Alligator mississippiensis: one gene and its partners. The protein of the gene in region 4 interacts with the protein of the main gene of each other region in a pairwise test. Links are inferred from orthologs where the notes say so. Each region holds a gene or a part of one and is shown on either strand. Other genes may lie near its edges. The genes, in order: RPIA, RAD54B, SORBS2 and ATPAF2.

The links.
Region 1: the proteins of ATPAF2 (region 4) and RPIA interact in binary tests that used the Homo sapiens proteins (3 or more experiments, as listed by UniProt). The two-hybrid records come from large-scale screens. The link is inferred for Alligator mississippiensis from reciprocal best matches to the Homo sapiens genes ATPAF2 and RPIA.
Region 2: the proteins of ATPAF2 (region 4) and RAD54B interact in a two-hybrid assay, tested with the Homo sapiens proteins (2 studies listed by BioGRID). The two-hybrid records come from large-scale screens. The link is inferred for Alligator mississippiensis from reciprocal best matches to the Homo sapiens genes ATPAF2 and RAD54B.
Region 3: the proteins of ATPAF2 (region 4) and SORBS2 interact in binary tests that used the Homo sapiens proteins (3 or more experiments, as listed by UniProt). The two-hybrid records come from large-scale screens. The link is inferred for Alligator mississippiensis from reciprocal best matches to the Homo sapiens genes ATPAF2 and SORBS2.

Annotation. Positions count from the first base shown.
Region 1 is NC_081825.1:13,854,489-13,861,376, reverse strand, and holds the start of RPIA (ribose-5-phosphate isomerase), read left to right. Parts: upstream 1-3,878; 5' UTR 3,879-3,915; coding exon 3,916-4,044; intron 4,045-4,125; exon of another isoform or gene 4,126-4,140; coding exon of another isoform or gene 4,141-4,212; intron 4,213-5,158; exon of another isoform or gene 5,159-5,181; coding exon of another isoform or gene 5,182-5,241; intron 5,242-6,888. UniProt on the Homo sapiens protein: Catalyzes the reversible conversion of ribose-5-phosphate to ribulose 5-phosphate and participates in the first step of the non-oxidative branch of the pentose phosphate pathway.
Region 2 is NC_081826.1:43,509,983-43,517,616, forward strand, and holds the start of RAD54B (DNA repair and recombination protein RAD54B), read left to right. Parts: upstream 1-4,687; 5' UTR 4,688-4,698; intron 4,699-4,728; exon of another isoform or gene 4,729-4,942; intron 4,943-7,634. Other genes in the region: RING finger protein 151, read right to left, coding at 4,499-4,687. UniProt on the Homo sapiens protein: Involved in DNA repair and mitotic recombination. May play an active role in recombination processes in concert with other members of the RAD52 epistasis group.
Region 3 is NC_081825.1:69,985,398-69,992,762, forward strand, and holds the start of SORBS2 (sorbin and SH3 domain-containing protein 2), read left to right. Parts: upstream 1-4,364; 5' UTR 4,365-5,117; intron 5,118-6,670; exon of another isoform or gene 6,671-6,776; intron 6,777-7,365. UniProt on the Homo sapiens protein: Adapter protein that plays a role in the assembling of signaling complexes, being a link between ABL kinases and actin cytoskeleton. Can form complex with ABL1 and CBL, thus promoting ubiquitination and degradation of ABL1.
Region 4 is NC_081836.1:54,885,850-54,893,015, reverse strand, and holds the start of ATPAF2 (ATP synthase mitochondrial F1 complex assembly factor 2), read left to right. Parts: upstream 1-4,162; 5' UTR 4,163-4,220; coding exon 4,221-4,302; intron 4,303-4,381; coding exon 4,382-4,426; intron 4,427-4,521; coding exon 4,522-4,667; intron 4,668-5,402; coding exon 5,403-5,500; intron 5,501-6,262; coding exon 6,263-6,343; intron 6,344-6,661; coding exon 6,662-6,774; intron 6,775-7,166. Other genes in the region: GID4 (glucose-induced degradation protein 4 homolog), read right to left, coding at 848-955, 1,987-2,046, 3,749-3,937. UniProt on the Homo sapiens protein: Plays a role in the assembly of the F1 component of the mitochondrial ATP synthase (ATPase).

The DNA of each region.
Region 1 (6,888 bases), on a different chromosome or scaffold from region 4:
GTCCATTATTGGCTACTCTGGACATATAAAAGTTCATGCAACTTCCGCCCAAGTCGGAGACCTCTGAGCACGCGGCAGAGTAACCACGGAGAACTCTGTAGCGCGATCGAGGAAACTTGGCGGACTGATCACCCACCAATATCTCCCCGTCACTGGGTCCTTTTGATGTACCCCGCTATCCTGCAGGTTCCTTTTCATTCGTAAACTCGTTAACTCATCACTCGTTTTGCTATCCGTGACAACGCAAGCAAGCTACTTCGAGGCCTGTGCTGCCATTCTACGTGGCGTAAGTAAAAACAATCTTTTAAAACCAATAAGCTGTCTCGCCTCTCCATTGCTGGCCCGCCTGACGTCCGATTAAACTACCGATCCTCGGGTCGGCTCCGGCCGCTCGAAACAATTTACACTGACATAACGCGATGATTCCCCGTTCCCCGTTCTCTCCTGTCTCTCGTGTTGAATCCGGTCATGCAGGATGTCTCATGTCTGGGTCTTGGCTTTGCTCCTTTCTCTGTTTAATGAGAGTCTCTGACAGCTCTGTCCCTCTTTGCCTGTGCCATGTTTTTGTCCCTGTGTCCTCTCCTGGGGAGCTCTGTATTTCATCCCCATGACACTTTGCTTCATGTCCCCTTGTGCTTCATCCCATGCAGGCTGGCTCTGTCCTGTAAAGTCATACTTTGCCGTTGGGACTGTGCAGTCTACTTCAGCTAACTGATTTTAGCATTAGTGGTTTAATCTATGCAACAAGTGACTTGTTAGGCTGCCCTGGGTTTGGGATTGAACAGGTGCCATTTTAAAGTGGCTGAGCTAAAAGCTGCTACGGGGTTACACTTGAAGCTTGGGGGGGGGGGAGGGGGGTGTTACCTGGAAGGAACTAGTGGGAAAACTACTGATGCAGTTTGGTGCAGGGCATAAAAGGACTTGAAGTGTCGAGGCTTCTCTGCAGTCTGCTGAAGGAACTGTTGGAGGTTGAACCCTGAATTCCCCAGCTGCCTAGGGCGAGCTGGCTGTACAAGCAAGGGCATCACAGCTCATATGTAAGCAATCAGCTCCTTATCGCCTGCAGCTGATTCTCAGGCTAATATTTGCAAGAAAGTGCTTTTCTTTAAGAGACTGTCTATAGTCTTACCCTATATTGAAACAGAAAGGGTTCATACCAGGACCCCATTAAAATCAAGGCTAAAACTCCACCTCAGTACAAGAGGTGCAGCTCACTGGTGAACAAACTATCACCAGTTCTGGGACTGCTGGAAGCACTGGGCTGGTTAACATGGCTCTTCCATGTGAAGTGATCCTGGAATATCCCAGTGACGTGGCTGTGCTGGAGGATGGCAGGCAAAACAGCTATGCAGCAGGGAGAAAGTCAACTTAATTAAATATATACTTTGACTTTATCCTTAAAAAAAGGCAATACATGAAAAAGTAAAGGGGTGAGACCAGTAATTAGCAAGGGGCTTAATAGCAGTGATATTAAGCCTGCCTCTGAAATGCGACCTGGCCTGGGTGGCATATAAAAACTGGGGGTAGAGGAGGCCAGAAAGCTAGATTAATACCTTATGGCCTCATATAGTATTCTGCAAGCAACAAAATAGGTGTTAATAGCTATAAGCACAGATGTTGAGGCCTTGTCTGGAGCAGTGTGTCTGTTTTTGGGCATCGCCCTTTAAGAAATATGCAAACAGACTAGATAGAGTCCAGTGGAGGGCAACAAAAATGACTACAGGCCTGGGAAGCATGATTTATGAGGAAAGGCTGAAAGAACTAGGCTTATTTAGTCTGGAGGAGAGAAGACTGAGAGAGGACCTGATAGTCTTCAAGTACCCGAAGGGTGGTTGTAAAGAAGAAGGAGAGAGGCTATTCTCTGTAGCCACAAGAAACGGGACAAGGAACAATGGAAACAGGACCCATGAGTCCAGACTAGGTGGCATTGTGCCCTAGCCCCAAAGCCACCTTTCCCTGCAGATCATGCGGAACATGCATTTCTGTCCGGGTCATTTACCTGTCTGGTCTCCTCCTGTTTGGAGGAGCCATGTGCTGCTCATTGCCTGATTGTGAGAAGTGAGAAGCAGGAGTGTGAATGGCCCAGCTGGGCTGGAACTTGCTCCAGGGATCAAATACATCTTCCTTTTCCAAAAAAAAAAAAAAAAAAAAGGAACAATGCTCTTGCGACAGGGGAAGTTCAGGTTGGACGTTAAGAAGCTTCTACGAGGGTGGTTAAGCATCCCCCTGGAGAGCGTGGACTCTCATCCTTGGAAGTATTTAAAAGCAGTCGTTGGCTGGGATGGTCTAGTTAGGGATGGTTGAGCAGCGGGCTGGACTAGATGACCTCCTGAGGTCCCCTCCAGCCCCACTTCTGCATGAGTTAATGGTTACACAGGGCTGAGATTTGGAGAGCTGCTGGAAGCAGACGAGACTTTTCAGAAGTCACAGAGGGTGAGGCTGTCACTCCCCAGTAGCAAAAGGGTGAGGAGGGACAGCACAAAAGGCAAAAATGGGGACATGGGGGGGTTGGGGGCGGTTGTTGGGTAGAGAGATGGTAAAGCTGGCAGGGGGTGTGGAACGGAGGAGTGCTTTGAGCTGGCTGCGGAAACCATGGGGGAATTTGGCGCGAGGGGTGACTGAGCACAGAGGCATTTCCATCCTTTCCAGAGCTGGGCAGGGGCCAGTGAGAGGCACTGCAGTTGTGCATTATGGCCTGTCCTTGGCATCTAGCGACAGGTGAGCAGCAGCACCTGACGTCTGCCAGCCGTGGCCATGTGAATCCTGTCGGGTGTCAGAGCCAGGCTTGCCCGCACCTCCTGCAAAGGTGAGGGGATGTCTTTACCCCTAGCACCTCCTATGCCATGCTTTATTTATTTATTTTTTAAAGGATAATTTTTCATGTTCCAAGACAAATCGGCAAAATCAATTCCAAATCCGTGAGTCATTCAAGAAGCTTATGTGGCCTTGCTACTGGCAAACATCCTCCACCCAAACTGGGGCTTCAAATGTTTCCAATCTACAACCCTCCAAATCATTCGGCAGGCATCCTACGCGCAGGCCCAAGCCCAAAGGCTTGGGGTTCAGATGCCCCTGAGTTTTGCTTGCATTCAGCTGTATGGCTGCAGGAGCGAGCTAGGCTATGCCACGCTCTTGACACGCAGGGGCTCCTACCCTGCCAAGAGAGGGCTTCATCCTCACTGGGAGGGCACTGAGTGCCGGGGACCCCCTGGGGCAAGGCACCGCAGCTCCCAGCCATGCCCCACACGGATCCTGTCCTGCCAGGCGCACCCACATGCCCTTGCCCATGCCTGGCGGGCAAGCATCAGCTGCATTGCCAGGTCTTAAATATGAAATTACAGTATCATATTGGCTCAAAATGATTGCACTTGCTGAAAAAACGATTGTCCAGTGAAAAAAATATGCAGAGAAGCCTGCAAATAAATCGTCTTTACTTTGTATTGCTCGCTGTTAAGACGTCAGTGAAAGAGTGAGAGCTGGGTCATCAAAACTGAAGTGTTTATTTGGAGGTGAGGCATCCTAGCAGAGTGCTGGCAGCAAACCCAGCCGTCAGTTCAAACTTTCTGAGAGCGACTTGGGGTTTTGCCTGTGGTGCATCAATTCAATGCCTCAAAAATGATCCATTTTCCAGTTGGTCTAATCAAAAGTATCACTTTGGAACCAAGAGTTCTAGTTTAATTGAATTTAAGTTGGTGCAATAAGAGAGATCAGATTCACCCCAAGACCCACGGCTGCACGCTGCACCCCCGACCCACACCCCGCGTCCGGATTGCACCTGGTGCGCGCACCGCTGCGGGGCGGCCGGGCGCGAGCAGCCGCGCTGCATGGCGGGAGATGTAGTCCCCGCCGCCGGCTGCACTACAACTCCCAGGCGGGCTCGGCGCGCAGCCGGACGGCCGGCCGGGCGGCTCCGGTATGCGGCCCGGGGCGTGGATCGGCAGCCTCTGCAGGACGCTGGCGGCCCGGGGAGCCGCCCTGCCCGGCGGCATGGCCGAGACGGCGAAGAGGCAGGCGGCCCGCGCGGCCGTGGACGGGCACGTGCAGGTGAGCGCCCCCGGGGGGACTCGAACCCGCGCCCCGTCTCTCCTGGCTGACCTGCGGCTCAGCGACCCCTGGCCAAGCGTGCATCCTGCTAGCAACATGCATTGCTTCAGCTTGGGCCTCTGCAGGGGGAAACCTGCCCAGTCGGGAGGTGCGTGCGGTGTCCGGGAGGTGCGTGCAGTGTCAGGCCGGGGGAGAGTCCGGAGCCCGGCTGCGTCTGCGGGCAGGCCGTAGCCTCGCGTAATATTTGTTGCTTCAATGCTCTGCAAACGTCCGTCAGTGAAGGGGTTCAGCTCACCGCTGCGCAGGAGCTGGTGTCAGGGAATATCGCCTCCAATTCGTCGTTCAGCTCAGTGTCGTGTGTCTCTGGATGTTGGCCCAGCAGCCAGAAGACTCCCCGAACTCATCCACACGCTTTGGCCTCTCTTCTCATGCATGCTTGTTGGGGTTCGTTTTATCCTGCGAGTACCTGGAGGTCCCAGCTTGAGTTTGGGGCCCCCTGGTGCTAATATGAGCATGCCTAGAAGTTACACCGCTGTCGGCTGTGTCTGTCCATGTCCATCCCAGGGTAATTTTACCTGATACTAAAAGGCTGGTACTCGCTCCCCTGCTTCCTAGGGGTGCGGCGCAGTAACAGCTGCCTGCTGCGCCAGCTCTCCCTGGGATAGCTGCAGGCCTGTCTGGCGTGCTACCATTGGTGTGCTTGTCCAGGCCCTCAGTTAAATGCTTCAGCCTGGTCTCCACTGCGATTTTACATTGAGCTGGGTAATGCATGCTAGTTTTCTCACTGTCAGACACTTCTTCAGCGGGGAGGACTTAGTCCTAATCTAGATCATATCTAAACAGGCCTTCTTGCCTGAATTGTTGCAGCTCCCTTCATCCTTGTGCGGTGGAGGGGGGTGGATGCAAGACCTTTTTCTCTGTAGCAGTCTGTTACCAAATGCGGAGATAACATCTGAGGTCAAAAAAAGCCTCTCCCTGTGTCTCCTTGTCGGTTTGTTCTTCTTTCTGACTTTAACCTTGTCCTCCCTTTGGAGGCGCGTGGCTTTCTTGTGCGTTGGCTGCGCTTGGCAAAGTGAGACGTGGCTGTGTTCATTTTGCTGTGCTGTCCCTGGGACCACAGGGAATAAATATCCAGGTATGATCCGCTGGCCTGGGCTTCTCCCGAGGTGGATCTCGGTGGGGAAGCAGGATCCCAAGGTAAAGTTGGCAGGCCCCAGTCTTATGCCATGTTCAGAAAGTTTAACAAAAACTTCCTTACTGGCATTACTGACAAGTTAAACTTTTAACTCCTTGGGGGTGTGCTCTGCTGGCCCCTCTGCCTTCCCAACCAGGTCTGTGTTGTTCTGCCTGGAAAAGAGCAGACTGAAGGCAGCTCCACGCAGTCCCTGCCAGCTTTGGTTGGATCATTGGGCACAGCAGGGCAGCTTGATGCACCATTTAACAGCAGAGAACCTTGCTATTACATTAAATAATGCATGTACATTAAATTGTATGCAAGGAATGAACCTATAAGGCCAAGATTAAACTTTAACATCTTGTGATTTTGTTTTTGTTTTTTTTTGGTAATGCTTTGCTTCTTAAGTGAATTTAAGCTTTGTATTTTCACCAAGGAATTTGCTTATGTACAAAATGTGCAGGTGTATGTATGCATGAGCCAGAGTTAATTCTCATCAAGTTTAGCTACCTAGTAAAGTGTCTCTACACTGCAAAGAATACAGCATTGTGGGTCGTGGTTGTGACGTAGCAGTGCCCGTTCACTGCACATTTAATTAATACGTTTCTGCATTAAAAGTCTGAATCAAGCAACAAATGATATTGTATTGAGATGGGGGAGAGATTTGCCATGTGTCAGTTGTTTAATTTAGGGGTATACTGTCCTGGTTTATAGTTTTACTTACCATGGGATAGAAAGAGCACGTGAAACAGCTACTAAATTCCTGCAGTTTAACTTCGACTTACTTAGGAATAGAGTAGACACATGAACTAGTTACTGTGGAGCAGTTAACATGCAGTAAGTCCTTCCTTCCTTCCAGCTTGTTATCACATATACGTGTGTGCCCGACCACAGTGTGGATAGCACGCTGTGTGTTAATCGTTGTCCTGAGCAGGCTCCCACCCTTGGAAGCGGAAGGCTTTGGAACCGTTTAAACATGGCTTGTGATGCAAGACTCATGCATTTTAAGTGCATGAGAAGGGCCCAGGGTGCACCGTATTTTCTACAGAGCAAGCAGGTTTTTCTTTTGATCTGCTGTTATCCTCCAGGGAGTGCTCTTGCAGTTTTTGCTTTGGATAGCAGAGTTACTGCTACAGTGCTGTTCACTAACAATATTGTTCCTGGAAGCGGTGCTTTACCATGTGGCTTCCTTGAAAAGTAGGCTTCTTTCATGGGGTGCTTGTTTGAACCTCCTCCTGTGCATAGACTGATTCTCCTGCAAAATAATGGGCATCTGGAAGACCTGCAGTGTTTCTGCGGCGGGGGTGAGGGAAAAGATGCCTCCGTTCAAGTTTTCCAAGGAAGCAGTGAACTGCTCTCACCAGTAAACTGAGTTGCTGGTTTTAGGAGATGCTTTAGAAAAACTCAATGTTGAACAGTGGACTGTTTAAGACAGGGGTGGGCAATTATTTCGGGCGGAGGGCCGCTTATTGAGTTTCGGCAAGCCATCGAGGGCTGCATGACAGGCAGCCCAGGGCAGATTAATATTAATTTTCTGTATTTTTTAGGGACCCCATGGGCCAGATAGAATGACCTGGTGGGCCGCATCCAGCCCCCCTGGGCTGCATTTTGCCCACCCCTGGTTTAAGAGCAAGCCTGCATGAACGTGGAGTACCCACAAGTGTTGTAGG
Region 2 (7,634 bases), on a different chromosome or scaffold from region 4:
GGGATGGGGTACAGTCACCCCAAAATTCACTGTAGCACCCCATAGCCCCCCTCCCAGTGCCACTGCCACCATATGCCCTGCCCCTGCCCAGCCCACACACCAGGAAGAGGTTGGTGCAGCCCCCAGCCCCTAGCGTGAAGCCCATCCTTGTCCCATGCACAAATCTAGGGGGGACACATGCCCCTCATGCCTCCCCTGGTGTGTGTGCAGCGGCAGAAGCGACCCCGCCCTCCTGGACAAACCACTTGTGACTTTTTGTTCTGCACCCTGCTTTACCCTGGCTGGGCAGCACTTGTCCCTGCCCGTGCTCCATTCCCTCCCTCTGTCCCCCTCCATGAGAACCTTGATCGGCTCCCCCACGCTCCTTCTCTCCCCTGCGCCCCTTATCCACCCACAGACTTACTGGCCAGACATTGCTCTCTAAGCTGCCGGGCTGCACTCCTGGCCATGTGCATGCTGCGGCTGCATACACACACGTAACATTTATCTGTGACATTATCAGCCGCATCGGCCAAAAAAAGCCGATTGCTGATGATGTCAATTTTCCTTTTACCAATGCCAATACAATCTGGACCAATGTATCAGCGCACCTCTATGTGGCACTCCAGGATGTTGAGAATCACTTGCATGTAGAATGCAAGGCAAGACCATGCAGGTATCCTACTTAATTCCTGAGCTGGAAAAAATATACCTTGGTGCTGTACCTGGTTAACTGGCTCCATTTCTCAGCAGTGCTTGGGTACAGCACTACATGAATGTGGCTGATGGCTTCTGGCTTGCAATCTAGTGCCCACTAAGCTAGCTTGGGTACTGCTACACAGTGCTGCCTATGCAGACCAGTGATTCTCAACCAGGGTTCCCTGGCACCCTAGGTTGTCTTGACATCTTTTCATGGGGTGTCATACCATATTTGCTGTTACATGTGCAGACATGATTCACAAGATAAACCTAGCAATTTCAAATAGGAATGTTCACCTGCTGTGTTCTCTCTGAGTTCTTTGCAACAAAAAAGTTGCTCTGTTATCTTTCTATAGTGAAGAGTAAGTGAAAACTAAGCTGGAATTGTCTGAGGGGTGCCTTGAGTCTAATGAGGTTGAGAACTGCTCATGTAGACCTATGCTGTGAGTTTTGAGCCAAGCTCACAAACTCCTCTCTGTTGTGGTGCCCCAAAAAACATGAAAAATGGGTAGAGAACTGGTGCAATCTGATGGCTCCTTATGCTGACTAACTGCAGCTCAGTTTCTTTAGAGAACTCCAGCTGTGCTTGTATGCATCTCCGCACAGGCTGAAGAGAGCCAGTCCTCTGCGATGTCGGGTATTTCCTGCTATGCAGAGCAGACCACATACCTGAAGGGTAGCCAGGAGTCTACGTTTTACAGCACACATGTTCAAACCTTGGCCCACAGGGCAGATCTGGGCCCCAGTGCAATGTCATTTGTCCTGCAGAGCTCTCCACAGGTGTGTGGGTAGCCCCAAGGCTGTAACCTTGCATGCTAGACTGGACACAAGGGGCTGGGTGGGGCTCTGAGGCCTGATTCCAGCTTATAAAACGGGGCTGAAACAGCACAAGGCTCCAAGACCCAATTCTGGCACAGAAAGACAGGAATGATGGTTTAAGGCTTGCATTGGCAGCCAACACCTGTGGGCCACATCTGCCCCACAAGTTTTCTCAGTTTTCAGAGGCGTACTTTTCAGCAGAAGCTGCATTACAGGAGCAAGAAAGCAGTTCTTTGCAGATCTGGGACAGTGGCAGATTGGTGGCCTGCAGTGGTGGCCATGTTGTAAGTGCAGGCCCAGCACTAGTAAAAAGCGGCCAACTCTTAAGCAATTAGCTTATGCCACCTATTCCAGAATGGCAGTAGACAGAGACACCTTGTCTGGGGCATTTTATGTACCTATTTGACCCACATGGCCTAAATGTTTGATGCAGCGGTTGCTGGCTCCAGCTTGGAGATTCAGTTTTTGGGAGCCCCTTTTGTAGCCATGAATCTGTAAGCAGAACACAGTACATTTGGGCTGGTTTGGAGTTTCAGTGTTATCAGTTTCCTGGGGTTGCTATGCCATTTCCTATGTGCTTTGCTGATTTACAAATACTGCTCACTTGACAGTTCATGCCTGGAACATCTTTAACCATACGGGACCTGTGCTCTGTGTACACTTTAGCTTAGGACAGGGATGGACAATTATCTGGGCTGGAGGGGCACTTAGGGAGTTTTGGTGAGCTCAGCATCTCCCCCTCCCAAAAGCTCACCAAAACTCCCTAAGTGGCCCTGATACAATTCTCCTTCAGAGGAGCAGCCGTGGGATTAATAGTATTATTTGGCAGGCCAGAACCCAGCCTGCAGGCTGTATTTTGCTTACCCCTAGCTAGGAGATTTAGGCAGCACGTGCACAGGGGCTGCTTGCTTCACATGTTTCAGCTACTTTGAGGGTCCAGATTTCTTTACCTTCTTGGCTTATTTGGCTAGTTTGAAAGCTGAAATACCATGGCATGAATAATCAAGCTGTTTTTAATTGGGAAGCACAACCTTTATTTTTCCATTAAATATGAACAGAAAGCGCAAAAATTAAATGTAGGGAGGGGAAAACCTGGAGGTAACTATGCCTTTAAACACCTTGGGCAATAAACAAGTTATCAGTGCAACTTGGGAGGGAGCAGGAGGAGGAACATCTGACTTTAAAAAAGTGCAAAAAGAGAGCAAACAGCGGGCAAAGATCAGGCTGCATGTGAAGGGCACTTGGAGAAATGCTTAAAAGAACTTTAAAGTCTGTGGGTAGGGGAGGCCACAGAAATGGTCTGATACTTTGAGGGGTCAAATCACACTGTCCTCTTGCCTACAGTTTAGCTTTGGCTGGGAGCCCTGTGATGAGGGAGGCATTCTCAAAGGCATGGTCAACTGGAGTTGACAGATCTCAGATGCTGCAGACTAGTAAGGAAGGCCAGGGAGCAGGCAGAGGCTGAGTAGTGTGTAGGGACCAACCTGTTTAGTCCCCTAGACCAGTGGTTCTCAATGTTTTTGTACCAGGATGCATTTGTAAACACCAGCCTGCAAGGGAAAGCCCACAGTTCCCCATGTTTTCCTCCTTTAAAGGAGAATCCATTTTTAAAGTTTGTTGGTGATCCTTTCATACATTCTTGCGACCCACTTTTGGGTTGCAACCCATGGGTTGAGAAATGCTGCCTTAGACTATCTGCTGAAGAATACGCCTTCCATTAGTACATGCTTTACTTGCGTTTCAACTTCCAACATTTTCCCTGGAAAGCATTAAATGTGCCTTGGCTACAACTTCCTCTTGACTCAAAGCTTTCACTCTGCTGCAATCTTCTCTGCAAATGTCATGCTTCTTGAAGTTCACCCCCATTATCAATCATCTACCCACAATTTAAGGCCTATAAGCTCCCTGAAAATTTGTTTTCTGTAAGCCCTCAAGATCAGCAGTAACTGAATCATTGCCAACACCAGTATCCCTGACAGTCTGGAAGCTGCAGGTGCCAACCCTAAATGCCAAAAACAGTAACAAGCGCTTACTGACCACTGCTCCATTTCTGTGGTCTCAGAAAAATTATCTTCTCCTCTGCTTTTAGGAAAACCATCTCCAGAGTTCTTCCCAATTTGGGAATACCCTGGAGATGCTAAATCCTTTCTAAGCTTTCCTCCTGCCTTGTTTGCCATGCAGGTATGTTTGTTCTTTCAGTCAACATAGCCCTATAGACTGTAAGCCTGTGCTGACGGAGGAAGGAGATAGTTGCTACTTTTCTATGTATGGCTTGTGCTGGTACGGCTTAGGTAAAGAGCACATTCTATATTTCTTATTCAATTGTCTCTCGTCTTTGCTGTATGCACTGCCAACGCTCTCCTGCAGCTATTGCTGGTGTTAACCAGGCTCGGGAGTGGACAGCAATAACCAGCAACTCCTGGCTACTGAGAACCTTCTCATGCAGAAGTTCTGCTGAGTGCAAGGTCCCCAGCTCCTCCTGAACTCTCTCACCAAGGGTGGCTTGACGCTAAGAGCCGCTGTCTCAGCAGCGCAGGCAGCCAGCTCTGAGCCCAGGTGGCAGCTGTGGAGTCTGCCTTTCTCCTAGGCCAGCGCAAGGTCCCAGGCTTTTCTGTCTCGTGCTGCTGGCCTATCATGCTGGCATTCCCTCACCCTCTTCTCTGCCTGCATTGGAGTGACCAACCTGCAGTATGTGTGTCACAAGTGGCATGGGCAGCCCCTAAGAGTGGCAGACAGGGAGGGGACGGGCAGGCAGCGGAGAGCAGAGCAGCAGATCGGGAAGCAGAGCAGAGGGCACCCCAGGGAGCTGAAAGCCGAGCAGCAGTTCGGGTGGGGAGCACAGGGCAGGGAGCAGACAGCAGAGAGGCAGATTGGGGGAGGGAGCACAAGGCAGGGACAGCTAGCGGAGCAGCAGATCAACCCAGGGAAGGGGGGGTCCGCATTGTTGCTCTGCCCGGGCCCGGGTGGCGCCGGCCCATCGCGCCTCGCGCCCCGCACCCACCTGGCGCAGCCGCCGCCCCGGCCCGGAGCCGCTTGCAGTGAAGACGGTATCCAGCTCGATATTCCGGCACCGCCGCAAAAGAGAGGGGCCAGGGCCCTTTACGGCTGGTATTGCTTGACGGCAGAACGCAGCACTAGCGACAGCCCAGCCAAGCCGCCATGCTAGAAGTGGCCGAAACAGCAGGCGCATGCGCAATACAGGTTTACAAGCCCCTGACAAAACTCTGCCATTCTAGAGCGAGAGCAGAAGTGCGAGAGGAAGTCCACGGGGGCGAGCACTGAAGACAGCTTCGCCCCCTTGAAGCGGCGTGGGGAGAGGGTTAGCGCATGCGCAGAGGAATCACTTGTAGCGCTGGCGGGATCCTTGAGCTGCGTTGGCGGCGGGTGCGCATGCGCCTTGGGTCGAGTGGCTGACGGGAGCCGGCAGGCGCGGCGGGACGGTTGAGTGCGCGCTTGGCGTCTCGGGGCGAGGGCGCGTGTGGCGGGGGCGCGGGCGCGGGCGCGGGGGCCGCCGCGAGCGGGCCGTGTAGGGAGCACCCCGGGGCGGGGAGCCGCGTGCTGGCGGCGGTGTTGCCAGTGTACGATAATGATCCTGTTTGTACGATCATTTCAACCCCTTTACCATGGACGGTCAGCGATGGTAAAAGTGTTTGGTTTGCTCTTGTGGCTCCTGGCCCGGCCGCAGCCGAGCCCAGATAGTGCCTGTGCAGCCAGCTGCAGTAGGAGCAATGCAGCTGGCTTGGACAAGGCGAGGAAGAACCATGCTGCTTCCCAGGTCGCTGGGCTTAGGAAGCAGGCTCTGGGGGGGGCGGGCCTGGGGACTGTGGAGCCGTCTTCCCCCGAGCTCAGCTGATGAGTACCCAATAGCCCCCTCTAAGAGCAAGGGGGGCTAACTGTTGCTCTGCGGGTGTAAGGCCTGTGATCCTCTTATGAGTCCGATACGCCAGTCTGAGGAACTGGCAAGAAGCAGCTTTGTACACTGGTGCTGCGTGCTTTTCTGACCAGTCCACATTTATTGTCAGTTAAGGACTGTGGTTCCTCATTGGAAATTCGTCCCTTAATTTGAATTTGGCCCTTAATTTCATGGTGTGCTTAATTTCAATCCTGGACAATCCTAATTCCGGGGTGTCTGTGCTAGATGGGCTCCATGCACTGCATGCAGCTCATGGGTCTAAAGCTAGTACATGCTGCATGCAGTGCGGATTGGAGACCATCAAGCCCACAGGGCTGCCTGTGTGTCGGACTCTACAGGTCAGATCTGGCCCATTGGCTGTGTCTTTCGTAGAATCATAGAAGTAGGGTCGGAAGGGACCTTGTAGATCTTCAAGTCCGACCCCCTGCCTGGGCAGGAAGAAAAGTGGGTTCAAGTGACCCCAGCCAGGTAGGCATCAAGCCTCTTCTTAAAGACCCCCAGGGTAGGAGCCAGCACCACTTCCCTTGGAAGTTGGTTCCAGATCCTAGCCGCCCTGACTGTGAAGTAGTTCCTATGAATGTCTAATCTAAACCTACTCTCCAACAACTGGTGGCCATTATTCCTTGTTATCCTGGGGGGCACTAGGGGAAACAAGGTCTCCCCCAAACCCTTCTGGTCCCTCCTAGTAAGTTTATAGATGGTCACCAGCTCCCCCTCTCAGCCTTCTCTTGCTGAAATAAATTGAGACTTACACTTATTTGCCCACACCCAGACTTGAACTGCCAGCCTTTTCATTAGCAGCTCACAACTCAGGCCCTCCAGCCACAGAAGAGGCCTTTTTTGACAGCCTTGTCCTAACTTATTGTGGTAGCAAAGCGAAGCCTGGGAGGAAAGTTAACTTTTTGGGCCTTTCATTGGAATGGAAGTTTTGGGATCTCTCTTTCACAACTAATGTGCATGTCGTCTATAAGGCAAACTTTCCAGATTGACTTTTGCAATTTCACCAGAAAGCTGAGAGGTGGGACTTACTGCCACCCAGGTGTGTGGGTCAGGTTTGGGTCATTGCAATTCAAATGGCATTTATGCCTATTTTGGATGTTGCCTATTATTGGGCTACAACAGGACTTTCCAGCTGGTGACCTGTGGGCTTCATGCAGTCCATGGGGGGTTACATTGTGGCCCTGGGCTACCACCTGGCCACCACTTTTCCCATTGCTTCAGCTACAGAAGCAGCCAGGGACTCTGGGCTCCTTTTCCCCTCCAGCTTCTCCTTCCTGCAGCATGGTACAGCCTGCATTGCTGAAAGAGCCTTAAGGTGAAATGCAGCAGGGGAGACTGTGGCTGGGGAGCTGAAGATGAGTGAGGGCACTTGGGCACTGGTGTTGTTGTGGGTGGGGGGGGAGTTAGGGAGCAGTGTGTGGTGCAGTGTGGTGTTGCTCAGTTCAGTGAGGTGAAAAGGCTTATCGTTCAGTAGTGAGGGGGGATGGGGGGTACCTGGACACATGGTGCAGTGGGGGGGAAGTGGTGTGTGATGTAGTGGAGGGAGGCACATGCAGTGGAGTGATGCAGCAGCAGAGGGCTGCTTAGGCATGCACTGTAGTGGGGGAGGGAGGAGGCACTGTGCAGTGATGGGGAGGGACATGAAGTGCAATGGTGGGGAGGGCGTGCATGGTGGTACTGATATATGGTACCGCTGGGGGGGTGGGAAAAGCGCGGTACCACTAAAGCAGTGGTCTCCAACCTTTTTAAGTACCAGATCCCTTTGTGAATTAAAGTGCAACCTAGGATCTATCGCACCTCTCCCCCCTGCAAGTGGGGGGGAGCAAATCGAGGCCCCTGCAATGAGGGAGGGAGGGGGGTAGGGGCAGGTGCTGGGGTGAGTGTGGTCCTGCCTGGGCTGGGTGGTGGGACAATTGGAGCCCAGGAGGCTTATCCAGGTGTGGGGTGGGGAGGCTCCAGCCACTACATGCATCCCGGTGGACACCTGGGGGATACGTGCCCTCCCCGATCTGTATGCAGGGTGGAGGCAGCTGCTGTTGCACACTGGACTTTGCACTCCAAGCCCCACTGCAGCTATTCTGGGAGTGGCACAAGGCCACATGTGTCTCGCCACTGGGCTGAGGCTTGCCCCCTGCCCACCCAATGGCAGGACATGGAGCCTCTGACAGTTGCACTCAGTCCCGCCAGACTGAGATCATGCATGTGCTCAGCCTCCCCAGACTGA
Region 3 (7,365 bases), on a different chromosome or scaffold from region 4:
TTCCTTCCAAACTCTGGTAGCTTTTGATATGGACAAATGTTCTCTAGAGACTACAGCAGACCAGGAGGCTCATTCGAAATTCACACATTAATGGGATTTTAGCCAAGATCTGAAACAATATCAATACTATTCCAGATCCCATTGTAAGCCAGTATGTAAGTATTTGCTTAACTCTAAGCACATAAGTAATCCCACTGAAATCACTACTGTGACTAACTACTTAGAGTGCAAGTCTGTGCTGCGCTTCTAATCAGGACAGCCCAATTTAACATATTAGGGCAAGCATGGGCCTATGAGGTTTTAAGCTGTTATTGCAGCTTCCTGATCCAGGCCTGCTTAAGTAACTAACTGGAGAAACACCTGCTGTTATTTAGACAGACTGGGGTTGCTAGGCTTGATAGGAGCCTGCAGATATTGCTGTAACTATGGGCTGCAGACTGCATGTTAACTCTGTTTGTCCTGTATGTCCTCAATCCTTGGGCTCAAAAGAGGTCCTTTGGGAATCAGCTTTTATCAACAGTTCCACTGGGCTTGCACAAGGAAATCCTCCCAGGATCGTTTTGAAAGTGTTTAAGGTTTCTCTATCCCACTGTGGCACTTCACAAAGTATAAAGGAGCCTGAGAAGAGTAAAGACCTTGCCCTTTGTGCTTAGATTCTTTGCTGGAGTAGCACCATATTCAGCTCTTATACTGAACCCCTTACCATACCTTTCACCTCAGTATTTATGCCAACAGTTGATGAAAAGCACATACCATGTTTTGGTCTAGACCTATACAGGAAAAACTCATGCCATTTTTTTTTAATTGGAGCCATGCCTAGATAAGGCAAATAGGATTAGATCCATACTCATTACCTATATGGAACTCCACTGGTATAATTCATTTTCTAACACCAAGAATAATTTTTTTTTGTAAAATTGTTGTTCTTCCATTCTATGTCAAGATATCCATGAACCTGGGTATGAGATCAGAGGAATTTGTGTGGTTAGTTGTTTTAAGTATTAACATTGAGTCCTGTATAGAGGAAGTTGAATGTGCTAGTAATTGTCTAATAGGCCAATGAATTAATGCATTTGGGGTAGATGGACAACCCTAATTTTAATTTAATTTGCTTTGTTATCAATAAGCTAAATCTAATTTTTACAAACTCAGTGGGGTGCATCAATGTAAAACACCCATGAAATGAGAAATGGATCTAATATATGCATAATGTTTGATTAAGCAAAAGTAACTGAATTAATCTTACTGCAATGGCACTATAGCAAATTGTGCTGTGATGTTTAGCATATTTATAAATAATTACTAAAATACTTCAAAATCTCCTTGCCAACAAGTCCAAATCAGTTGCAAAATCAGCAAACTACCTGCCTTTCTGATCAAAAAGGAGCAGTACTGGACAGTAGTTATGGCATCAAAGATCTGTGTTTGAGTTATAGAGCTGTTCATATTAAGTGAGGTTGGCACTAAGCAACAGCTGCAGTATCTTAGGTAATATACTGGCAATAAGTATCAGGAAAGCCATCTTGATTTTGTTTTGTTTTGTTTTCTTAAAAGGAGAAAATAAAAACTCAAACCAGCACTTATATTAGAAATATAGTGAATGATATTTGATTTAAGGCCCTTACTCAAAGGTGTTTGAATATGTTTCAGAACTGATGTCAGAATTCCCTGTGAACACAAAATGTGGGTGCAAGTCATACAAGCAAAGCACAAACTGCAGGGTATGACATTCGCAAGACAACTATTCCCCTATAGTCTGTAGTCCAAACTCCAGATGGATATTTTTAGTCTACAAACGATACACTGTGTATTTTGATCTAAAAACAAACAATCAAACATTGGGACAAATTCCCTGCTCAGATTCCTTTGCCGGCTTCCTAGCTGTGGTCCTCAGTGACATGGGAAGTGCAGCAGCAGAAACTATTTGCAAGTGAGGGTGGTGTTTCAGGTTACCTCTGAAGTCTAAACCATTCTAAAAGCACTTAAATAGGAGTGTGCATGCATCAAAGGGTGTTCAACTGTGCCAAGTACCATCTAAGTAACTAAGGGTGAGGGTTATCTTTGAGCTGTTCTACCTAACTGGATCTAGGGTATTGTTCTGCTCCACAGAGATAAAGTGACCAATTTCCAGTCATCCAGCATCCTAGGATGCAGGGCTCCGAGCCTCTTTATCCCTAACAAATTGTCCACCCTTCCTAGTTCTACTGCCCAAGGGGTAGTAATGGCCCCAGCACCCCCACCCACCCCTACATAGCACCACACTGCCAAATCCAAGGACCCCAGGAGACCCAATCCAGGCCTGTGGGCCAGGAGCCAGGCATATGTTGTCCCCTGATAGGGCTAAGCCTTTTCCCCACATCTGGACAGCTGTCCTCTAGCCAGGAGAATTTGGGCAAGGGGGACATGGCTTCCCTCTCCAGCCTCCTGCATTCCTGGGGTGGGAGGGAAGAAAGGGCTGCCTAGCACAAAACATGGTAGAGCATAGAGCCTGGTGAGGTATGCTTCCCTGGGGTCCATCTGTCTCTGTGGTTAACCCCTGGGGCTTCACTCCCAAGGGAGGGATAGAAGCCTGGCTCCTGGTCATGCCCCTGCTCTCTAGGCCCTCTAGTGCCAAGTAACAGTTCCTCTGGTCGGAGATGACGTTAAGCATTAATTTGAGACTACTCTGAAGCTGTTCTGACTTTAAGACCACCTAATGTTTCATGGTTTAACGGTATCCTGTAAGAGCACTCAGTATTGCCAACCCCACTGTGTCAAAAATCATGAGACAAACTCGTAAAAATCAAGAGATTTTGAATGTAAATCATGAGATGCTATTTTTCAAGTGTGTGTGTATAGGAGGGCCATTATTTGTGAAGGTGTGGGGGGCTGTGGGTGTGCGTGTGGGGTTTGGAGCCTGGAGAGGGGGGTCCCTGCACACCCTGGCAGGATGCAGGGTACTGGGGTTCTGGAATGAGGGTCAGCAGCAGGGTTGGGGGGGGGGGGCTGTGGCTTAGAAGTGAGGGACACACACACACACACACACACACACAGAGCCACCCCCTCGGGGCCCCATTCACCCCAGAGCCTGCCCCACTCCCTCCTTCACCATAGAAGCCTCGATCTGCCCCCCTCCCCCCATGCCCCTGCCCCTTCCGATCCATAGACTTACCAGCTTAGCGCTCTATACACGTGCCAGAAGAAAAAATCCTGAGATTTGATCTCTGTATCAGGAGATCATGAGTCAGAGTTAATTTGACTTGGAAATCAGGAGTCTCATGATTTTTTCATGAGAGTTGGCATTACTGACACTCTTTAGACTGCCAGTAGGCCTGAAGCTACTTGGTATAGTCCTAACAGTCCATGGCATAAATATGGCAAATGACATAATGAATTACAAATTCTGAGCAGTCTTGGTATCTCTCAAAAATAAAAAGAGATTTAAAGTCGCCATCTTCAGGCAAAATGCCTGATAAGAATGCAGCAATACCTCTCCAATGTCCTCTCCCAGTATTATTCACTTGTTGGCTCAACAGCAGTTTTCAGCTATCAATAAGCTGAATTTGCTACTGCTACAAACTGTTCTACAGGTTCAAATTAGATAGCTTGAATGTTTGGAATGCAAATGTATGTAGTGATGTAGGAGGTATGGTATGTAATGTAGAAGTTTATATGGTTTTTAATTAGTTTTCAGGGAGCTTTAAGAGGAAGAGGTGCTTTATATGCAATGGATTCCAATAAAAAGCTTATAAGTACCAGAAATTGTAGCAGAGACGTTGATACCTAGCCTTTATACACCACTTTTTATATGCTGATCTCATTTTTTTCACACATGTCTTCCCCCGTCCCAAACTCATTTTAAATGCAGAAAACTGAGGAATGGAGAAAGTAAAACAATCAGTTATATTCTGTTCTAAGTGTATGACAGTGCTGTGGTATCTTGAGAGCAATGGTTAGTTTAATTCCTTTATATTTTCCTAGTAAGAAGGAGCACCCAATTTTACATATATAGAAGAGAAATCCATGAGAATTTATTTTATTTTATTTTATTTTTTTTACAAAAAAAGTAAAAATAAAAAGTAAAAGGTTTTCTAGGTTATGGTTGGTAAGTGCTGATTAATGTTGAATTTGCTAACCAGTGATTGTGGATTATCGGTTCCATTTCAAAATTAAATTAAAAAAAGATTGCTTGTTCTAATGACATATTACTTTGCCTGATTTATCAGATTTCCTTCATGCATAAATTTTGTGCATCAAAAATCCAGGCCTGTTTATAACTTGTTGTGTATTGTCTCTTTTAGTCTAGATTATATACAGTAGGATTTCCATATATAACCCCAAAAGGGAAGAGGAAAAATGAGAAGTATCTAAAAACAGGCCATTCTTCACATGGACAGAATATTCAGAAATCAGAAATTGTGGCTGGCCAAAATAAAATGGGGAAAAAAAATCCCCATAAATTAGCATTCTGTGTTGGGGATCTGCACATGATCAGCCATGCTTTCTGGATAAGTCTGTCTGTTGGTTGTTGCCATGGCTACAAAAAGCTAGTGGAACCCAATGAACTGTCTGCAGCATTGCTGAAAGGATCAGCCATTTTGCTTATGGAAAACAGTGTGACATATTATGCTGTGCTTTACCATGGAATAAACAAAAAATCTATTCAGAGGAAACAGAGGAGAAGATGAGGGAATAATTACTATAGCTGAGAATGCCTACACGCTGCCATTTTGACAAGCTGGTGACGGCTCATTCCCATTAGCTGATCAGGGAAGGTGGAATGCAGAGTGATAATGCTGCATATCTGCTGTCAGGCTGGGGAGTAGGTTTTTTGTCTTGTAAAGGCAAGGTTTCCCTGCAATGTTATCTCAACCACTCGCGAGCTGCTCCGAGTGAAAGCTGGTGACCCAAAAGAAGGGTGTTGCCCTCTCCCAACATTGTTCTTGTGCTCTGGTGTTTTATATGAGCAAGCACCACTGGAGAAGCAGGTGTGCGATTCAGATAGGCTCTGTATTGTCGGCTGTACAAACCACCCTCTCAGGTTTACATGCTTCTTATTAACAGATTGTTGGCTTAGGAGCTTCTGCTTCTGGACTTAGACCAGGAGGCTGCTGTGCATCTCTGCTTGTGTGAAAGAGGTAAGCTTTTGTTTGATTGGTTTCAATTTTATAGAAAATACTTGCATGAAGTTTTGCTCAAAGTAGCATCTCAAATGTATTCCTATTAAAAGTGACTTGTTAAAGCTTGCATTTAATGATTTTGATCATATTATGGTTTATTTGAGTGCAGTAGCATAATGTAACAGTCAAAATGCTTCCTGTTTTGAGAAAAAAAATGGGTAGTGAACAAATCTTATGCACATTTCATGTATACACAACAGGGATTTTATGCATCCTGCTATGATTTTATATTGTAAGGATTACATGGGATATCAAACATTATAGAACTGAGAAACATTTTGTTTGTAAAACCTTAAAATCCTTGATTCTCTCAGCATTCAAATACATGCATTGTTCTCCATCTTAATAATGTAGCTAGATTTAAATTGTCCAACTGCTGTGTGCAGTATGTAGGTCATAATAGAAAGCAGCTTTTGCACTAGGCTTTCTTTATGGAATGTATGCCCCAGCACTGTGTTTGATTAGTTTCTGGTACTTGTCTGTTAGGAGTCTAGGTATTAAAGGCAGCTCACACCTCCTTTTCAAAGATATCGTGCATACCATGCTAGCACAGAGCACAACACACCCATTGTGTCCCTCAGTTTGGCATTGAGTAAAAGAAAGGAAGCCAGCACTCCACATGGAGAAAAAGCACCAGCTATAGTTTAAGACAGCTAAACTTCTATTCTTAAGCACCCTCACCAGCAGCCAGTCCACTAAGAGACAGACAATAAAAAGGCTTAGACAAATGCACAGAAATATTTGAACATGGTGTTTCTGGTGAATGGCTATGTGCTAATAATATGGACCATCAGTTCCCAAATGAATTGTCCCTTGATGCACACATGATACATATCCTGATAAAGAATCTCAGAAACAGAGAGCAGTTATGAGGACAGAACTAGGTCAATAAAACCACAGCGCATTGGTGCAGCCAATGATCAGATAATCTTTAAAATATGTTAAATAATGGCATTTCAGCCCAGAGTTGTTAAGAATGCTTTTACAGAATAACATAATTTCTAACTTAATAAAATAATGAAAAGCTGAAATGCTTTAAATTCTATACACGGACAATTAAAATTTAAACAGAAATTCAAATTCATTTCTTGCAAGCTATGCTAATAATATGTTTGCATTCACTTTTAATTCACCGTTGTGTAGGTTTAAATCCCACTGAGCTAACTTGTATGCTTGGACTATAGAATGGGCATTTGATTAATCAGTAAAAGCCCCACTCCTTAATTACATTGTTAAACTAGTAACCAATCACTATTTTATAAATGGTACTGTAACTGAGAGGCAAAGTCCAAGACCATTTCTAATTGGGTTTTTTTTAATATATGCACCATAAAGTGAACATGTTGAGCCAGTGCACAGAAAATATGACTTTATGTTTGAAATCCCTGGCATAGGACCAGAAATTGCTTTAGCTTCCTTCTTCAAATCACTCCCTCAGAAAACCATATCTTCCCTGAATCAGGTCTGCTGATTTCCTTACCAGTCATCCTCCCTTAGGCTTCATCTCTTACCTGTTCTGTTTCCATATTTAGCCTGGTAGGTGTTGTGCAGGTAAGTTTGTTGGTGCAGTACAAGACCTTATGTGTGTTCTATGAAGTGCTATAAACATGTACATAGCATTGTAAATGTGTGTAATTGTGTGTGGGTGTGATTAACTTCTGCTACAAAAAGAATGGGTGGAGCTAAAACTTGAAAAATGCATTAACATTCTTCATATAAACCACTAAAGACAATTTGAACTTCTACTTTATAATGGACATGCTAAGTGTTCATAAGCAATAAAATCCAAAACATAACGCACTTTTAAGTCACAGGTAGACTGGGGTCCTACCGTCAAGAAGTACAGGCAAAATACTAAGAAAAAATAAGGGTGGCTGTAAGGATATCTCATACAAGCAAAAATGAAAGGTGCTTATATGAAAAAATGATAGACATAGTGAGTTCTGTATTTTGTTAGGTTTTTTTTTTACTACTTTTCCTTGCCTCTCTGCTCATGCCAATTCCCAGCTTTGCTTCTAGTGCTCTTAACATCCTTCGTTGCTGACCTTCATTCCTCTTCACCACATACATGAGCAGTTCACAGATAGATAAACAGATGACTTTAAGTGTCTTGTAGATGCTGTTGAATAGTTAGGTTTTCAAGAAGAATTTTAAATGAGTGTAGGAGGAAAAAAAACCAATTGAAGAAATGCTATGTAAGCCAAAT
Region 4 (7,166 bases):
GATTCACTTGTAGTGAATGATTGCAGGTAGAAACATACCAACTGACTGGAGAAACCCAGCATCCCGTCAGCCCTTCCTATAGGGACAAATGACATCAGGGCCCTGTATCACACCAGCACCATGCACCACTTCTGGGGAAACGGCTGCAGTCGCAGCTCGCAGGCGAGAGGCTGTAAACCACGCATCCCTCCCAGTCCATGCTGGGCGAAGGTAGCGAGGGATCCATGCGGCATCCCCGCTCTGTGCAGGGGCACCTCGCCCCTCCCAGGCCTGTGCTTGGCAGAACCCCCTCTGCCTGCCCCTCCCTGCAGTGGAACGTACTGTTGACAGCAGGTGCTCCACTGCGCCAAGCAGAGGGAGGAGGCACCCCCAAAGACCACACTCCCTCCAGGTGTGGGCCCATCTGCCAGAAGCCCATGCCACTCCTCCAGGCTGGCAGCATCTCTGAGCCCGCCAAGGCCTTTCCTCTGCTAATCAGAGGACCCCAAAGCTGCCGCTCCTCCAAGGGCTTGTTTGCCCTGGAGACTGTGGCACAGACTCAGCTACTCAGGTACTGCCAAACCAATGCCATCTGTTAGTGCCAAGAAAAGAGCTTCCTCCACCTGCAAACTGAACTGCACGAGTCACTGACACAAGGGGTCTGGTCTGGGGCAATGACAGTAGCAGCCAGGGAGCAAGGAGGCAGCAGAAAGCAAGGTGGAGCAACCCCCAAAACACTGTTTCAGGCCCTCTCTGGCCCCCAGGCACAACCCCGGCCCTTTTTAAAGTCTTGGCACATCCCCTTTGCCCACGAGGTGCATACAGGGCTGCTATGAGCCTCTCTGCAGCTTCCAGCATGCTCGCTTACCCAGTGCTTGCGGTCTACGTCCTCGTCCGCATCCCATTTCCGGGTCAGGAAGGGGTGCTTTTTGCTGATGATCTCCCCCTCAAAGAAGGTGGTGAGGGTTGGGTACTCCTAGAAGCAAGCACACACACACACACACACACACAGAGGGGACTGAAGGGCATTCGGAAGATCTTGCATCAGAAACACCAGAGATCTGCCTATGAGGAACCCATTCAGCAAATGCTTTCATCAGTACGATGCCATGTGGTCTGAGACACGGCTGCGATGCCCCCTCCTTGTGCTGAGCAAATCATCTTATGCTTCCCTGTATATTTGCACCAGCCCAGCCCTTCTCATCTCCTCCCCCAGCCACCTTTCCAGGCCTTTCCCCTGCTCCTGGAACATCCCAGAGCAATACTGAATCCAGAGGTCTGTTGTGTGCAAGCTCAGCAGACCCTAGAGCAGAGGCCAGCTGCTGCGTATCACCTGTTAGAGCAGGCAGCCTGCCCCTGGAGAAGCCTGTAACCAGCATTAGAACAGTATCGGATGACCAGAGCATTACCCCAGTCACCTTGCTGAACATCTACTGAAAACAGAAGCAGCTCCAAGATGCTGAGGGTGGAAAGGTGGAGGTCAAAGAAACTCCTACCTGTCTGTTTTTAATTTAAGCAACATAGAGATGCTCGTAGCGAGCTCACTGGTCACAGCACAGCACTCAAAGTGACATCAGGGACAAATTTGGACCCAAGTTTTCCACAAAGTTGGTTACACTCATCTCCCACAGCAATGCCGCCAAATGCAGGTGACTGCTCATTACACCAGCTTTGCTGCGGGTCAGCCGGCTGGACCTTTATCCCTCGACACCGAGGTGGTTGACTGCGTTAGTCTGGAGTGAAGGCAGGGTGGCACCTGAGAGCCTACCTAGTTCAGAGGCATGAGATTTTGTCAGCAACAACCTACTTCACCAGACATTTCATCAGACCAGTGCACTCCTAGCGTCTGGCAAATTAGGTTGCTGCTTAGGAAAGCTCAGGCCTCTTTGAATCAAGTAGTCTCCAAGGCCCAGCCCTGCCCTGCCCTGCTAGACCAGTGTCTAGAGACCTACTCCCTGCTTCCAGAAGGAGAAAAAGATTCCTAGTTCCTCTGCAGGAGGTGCTCACCTCTGTAAGGCCTTTGATCTTCAAGTATCCGCAGAGGTAGGAGTTCTCCATGTCCACGTGCTGGGGGAGAGAGCACAGAAACCGTTCGTGAGCCTATGTCCCCTCAGCACACGGCTCCGGAGGCTCAGCCAGGGCTGCACGGCTCAGCTTGGGTCGCGAGATCACACAGCGGTGAGCAACATGGAATGAATCACTTCCAGGGACCTCGCTCACCAGCCTTGACCAGACGACCATGGAACATCTTACCTGCTTCCAGCAAATTAGTAAGACCTTGGTCTGCCACCCAGGGATCAGAGAGGAAAAGGAGTCAGAAGTGATTCACTCGGCCCCAGTGCCTCAGAGACAGATCTCGGATGAGATCCTTGTCTCCTAAACCTGCTCCAGCCACATGCTACCAGTGGTTCAAAGAGACCAGAGGGGATGTCCTCAAGCAAGATCTGTCTCCACTTCCCCTGGCCCTGACCGCCAGCTTTGGCTTTGAAGTCAACTCTGTTAACACGTCATCTCTCCTCACTTCCGCAGCGTTCCCAACCTCTGCTCTTTACCCACCCAGACACCATGTCTGGCCCTTTACGAGCCTGTCCATCTGCGCTGCACACAACAGCCTTCTTGGGATCCTCTGCCTTCAGAAGCAGCCCTCGCGTACCCTCAAGTGCCTTACTCACAATCCCAATACTTTGCTTTCTCTCCTCTCTGTGACTGGGCTTACACCCGATTACCGAATCCACCTGCCACAGAGAAGCAAGGCACTGAGCTCTTCCATCACGAGCCCCGCGGTAGCTACAGAAACTTTTGCTCTGGACTCTCCAAATGACCAAGGGAAATCTCCAGGCACGTGGAAGAGTCTGGAAAACGCAGGCGTTGAATGGGAAGGAGGACCTTTCCCACACGGGACCTCTACAGATGGAACAGCTGCAGGTCTCACGGAGGACACGGGCAGACACACGAACATGGACGTGCACACGCGTGACACGAGGGTTAAAGCCGGGAGCCCCGGCAATCTTTGGGAGAAAAAGGGCCTGTAGTGAGGCCCATCCACCATGGGATGTCTCCACTGAAACGAGCGGGCTCAGGTACGCTCGTGCGGCTGACAAGCGCGGCGCGGTCAGCCAGGATCGACAGGGCGGTCCAAGCCCTCGGCAGGTCGGCTGACCTTGGGACTCGGACATTGCTCGACCGCCCTGCCCGGGCACCGGCCGCTCTCACGCACTCGCTGCAGGCGGCCGAGGGCCGGCCGTGCCTCCGCAGCCGGCTGGAAACAAAGCCACAGGCGGCCTCACGAGAGGATCGGATATCCAACGTGCTTCTTTCCACACGACCCCCCGGCTCGCCCGCGCTGCCCAAGGCCGTCGCGCCCGCGACTAAAAATAAAAGCCGGGCGGACGGTGACCCCGCAGAAGGCTGCGGGGACGAGGATCCCCTTGATCCGGCCGCGGCCGGCAGAGACCACGGTGCCCCCGGCTGGGCCTGGCCCGAGGAGCGCCCTGGGGACGCCCCGGCCCCCAGCCCCACTGGAGGCAAAGGGAGGGGGACCTAGCAGCCCCCCGCCCGCGCCGGCTTCAGCCCCCGGGCCCACTGCCCTGGGGCATCTCCCTGGGGGGCAGGGGGCAGACAGCAGAGCTGGGGCAGGCAGTGAGGGGCAGGTAGCGGGGGGGGTGCCCCCAGGAGTGGGGGGGGGGCAGATGACGGGAATGGGGCAGGCGGGGGGGGGAGTTAAAATGAAGCGAGGCTGACATGAAGGGGGGCCGCCCCCCGCGCGCACCTGCATGACGACCTCCACGTCGTAGGCGTTGCCCTTGCTGCGCTGCTGCCCGCGGAACTTGGCGCCGCTGTAGAGCAGCGAGGTGGCCACGCCGGGCTGCGCCGTGTTGATGGGCGGCGGCGGCACGAGGCTGGCGGCGGCCCCGCGCCCGGCGCCCCCCGCGCAGCAGCACTCGCTGCGCACCGGCATCGCCCCGGCCCCGCCCGCCGGCCCGGCCCGGCCCGGCCGCCCCGGCCACCCCGGCCCCGGCCCGCCGCTCGGCCTGGCGCCGCCGCGCGCTCCCATTGGCCCGCCGGCCCGTCACGTGGCGCCGGCGCGCCGCGGGGGCCGCCGGGACGCGTAGTTCCCCCGCCTCCACTCCCGGCGCGGGGACGGGGCGGCGCGAGGCACAAAGCGCGTTTGTGAGGCGGATTGGCCCCGCGGCGCGGCAAGATGGCGGCGCCCAGGGACGGCGCCTGAGCGGGCCGCGGGGATGTGGCGCGGCTGCCGGCGGCTGCTGCGGGCGCCGCTTCCTCCTCCTCCTCGCCCGGCGCGGGGCTACGCGCCGCCCGCAGGTGCCGGGGCAGGGGCAGGAGCCGGGTGGGTCGGGACGGGGCCTTGTCCCCGCTCTCACGGGCCCTTGTCTCCCTGCAGAGCGGAAGCGGTTCTACAAGCGCGTGGGCATCTCGCGGGGCGAAGGTGAGTGGGGCCGGGGGGAGGGTGAGCGGCCCCTTCCCCCGCCCGCCCTCCCTCCCTGCGGCCCCGCGGACCTCCCCCTCTGCCCGCCCGCCCAGGGGGCTTCGAAATCAACCTGGACCAGCGGAAGCTGAGGACCCCCCAGGCCAAGCTCTTCGCGGTGCCCAGCGAGGCCCTGGCCGTGGCCGTGGCAGCCGAGTGGGACGCCCAGCAGGACACCATCCAGCTCTACGCCATGCACCTGGTGAGCGCCGCGGCCGTCCCGTCCCGTCCCGGGACGCGCCTGCCACGACTGTTTTGCTGCCCCCGCGCGCGCAGATCACGGCTCGGTCTCTCCTCTGCCCCTTGCTAGGGGCCGTGGCCTCGTGAAATTCTCCGGCCTCCCTAACGAAGCCGAGGAGGGGATTCTTCCGCTCTGCTCGGCCTCCGTGAGGCCACAGCTGGAGCGCGGCATCCCGTCCCAGGCGCCGCGCTTCAAGGAGGACGTGGGAAAGCTTGAGAGAGTCCAAAGAGCCGCCCGCGAGATCGGAGACTTGCGCGGCAAGCCGTGCGAGGAGAGGCGGAGGGACCTGGGCCTCTTCAGCCTGGGAGAGAGAAGGCTAGGAGAGGACGTGGTAGCAGCTTATTGCTGCATTAGGGGAGTACATCAAGGGCTTGGTGAGCAACCCTTCACCAGGGCATCCTTGGGGAAAACCAGGGGTAATGACCATAAACTCCTGGAAGACTGTTTCAGGCTCAACATTAGGAAAAACTTTTTCACGGTTGGGGCGTCCGGACTGTGGAATAAGCTCCCTCCAGAGCTGGTGCAATCGCCTACCCTGGAAATCTTCAAGAGGAGACTGGTTGGTTTCCTTGCTGGGGTCGTCTGACCCCCCGTTGTCTTTCCTGCCGGGTGCAGGGCGCTGGACCCGATGATACTGCAAAGTCCCTTCCAGCCCCTTACATCTGTGAAACTCTGCTTCTTGCCTCTTGTCTGCAGACCACGCTCTGCAACACGGCTCTGGACAACCCAACCCAGCGGGACAAGACGCAGCTCATCCAAGCGGCTGTTAAGTTCCTGGAAACGGACACAATCTGGTAGGAGACCTGCCGGGTTTGCTGTTCGCTGGGGGAACACCTGGCCAGGCCAGGCCGGACCGGCTGTGGTGGGACTCGGGATCCCTTCCAAGAGGATCTATTCGAGCCAAGCCACCCTGCATTGTTTCTGCACCAACAGGCCTCTATCTCCTCCCCGCTCTGTGCCCCTGAGGAGCTCTCCCAGGCCTGCGCTTCTCCCCATGAGATGTTGCCGGTGGTCCTGAGTATCTGCTAGCGCGGCATTGCCTTTTTCCTTGTCTGCGCTTGGTGTTACCCTGCATTTGCCCTGAGCACTCCTTTACCTCAGCTGAGCCCGTATTCCTGCCCCTGAGCTCTGGGACTGCTGAGGGCTGGACCAGTCCTTGGCCTCTAGGCTAAACTCGGAGCAGAGACCTGCCTGAGCTGCTTTGGGGCTCCGAGGTGGCCTGATGGGTTTGTTCATGCTGGGGCCTGAGCTGGCTGCCTGACCTGTGAACGCTGTTCCACTGGAGCCCCACAAACATTGCTGGATTTACCACAGAGCAGAAGCAGGCTGCATCCCTTCCACGTGGTACCTGGGCTGGCAGGTAGCTGCGCCCGCAGGTGGCCCCTGTGGGGCCTGCAGCTTCTGCCAGTGTGGAACTGAGGGCAGCCCTGTGCTCCTTGCAAGCTGGCATCTCCTGCCAGCCCAGGAAGGGGCTTGCATTTCCAGGGGGGTTTTGCGGCACGTGGCATTAAGACAGCTGGTGGTTTGTCTGTGACGGTCGGTTCTGGTGGTCCTAGTTACAGGGTGGAGGAGCCAGCTACCCTGGTGGAGCTGCAGAGGAACCAGTGGGACCCCATGATCGAGTGGGCCGAGAAAAGGTAGGAAGCCAAAGGCTCTGTCTTTTCTGCAGTGTGCCTAAGGCGCTCATCCCTGCAATAGCTCAGATGAGCACTGGTGGCAGTGGGCCAGTGTGCTGTGTGTTCAGCTCGTCAGCCCTGAGAGGAGGGCATAGAGGGGTACTGAGGAGGCTTTGAAGGACAGAGGCTGGTCTTAATGGCTTCAGGTGCCCAGCAGCAAACAGGGAGGGGAGGATGGTGTCGCAAGACTTAGGATGCTGGGCTGGAGGGGGCATGCAGCGAGCCCAGCCTGCCACAGCAGTGGGGTTCCTGATGCCAGCATACATCCAACTCTTCCAGGTATAACGTGACGATCGGCTCGTCGACCAGCATCACTGGGCCCACCATCCCTGTGAGCACCAGAGAGACCTTCAGCAGCCACTTGGCCTCGTACAACATGTGGGCGCTGCAAGGTAAAGGGAGCAGCTTCTCCATCTGTCTGTCCTTCCAGGCATCAGCCCACAGGGAAAACGTTCCCTCCCCCAGAGGCAAATGACAAGCCAGTTAAGCAGAGGAGGGTGCTTTCGATCAACAGGGTGGAGAAGGAGACATCCCACCTCAAACTTTCTTCCACTGCCTCTGGGCAGGGCCTGTCTAGGCCTGGCACAGGGGTCCCTGTGAACTTAAATTGCAGCGTGTTACACCCTGTTAGTAGAGAAGGGGAATTCCCTGGGTCTGAGCTATCCCAAATGCATAGGTATCTCCTTTAGCTCACAAAGGCGACCCACCATCATATGGCAGCCTGGCTGTCCTGGCCATGTGCTGCTGCCCCAGTTCCAGAGAACAAGCCCAAGCCCACCTCCTT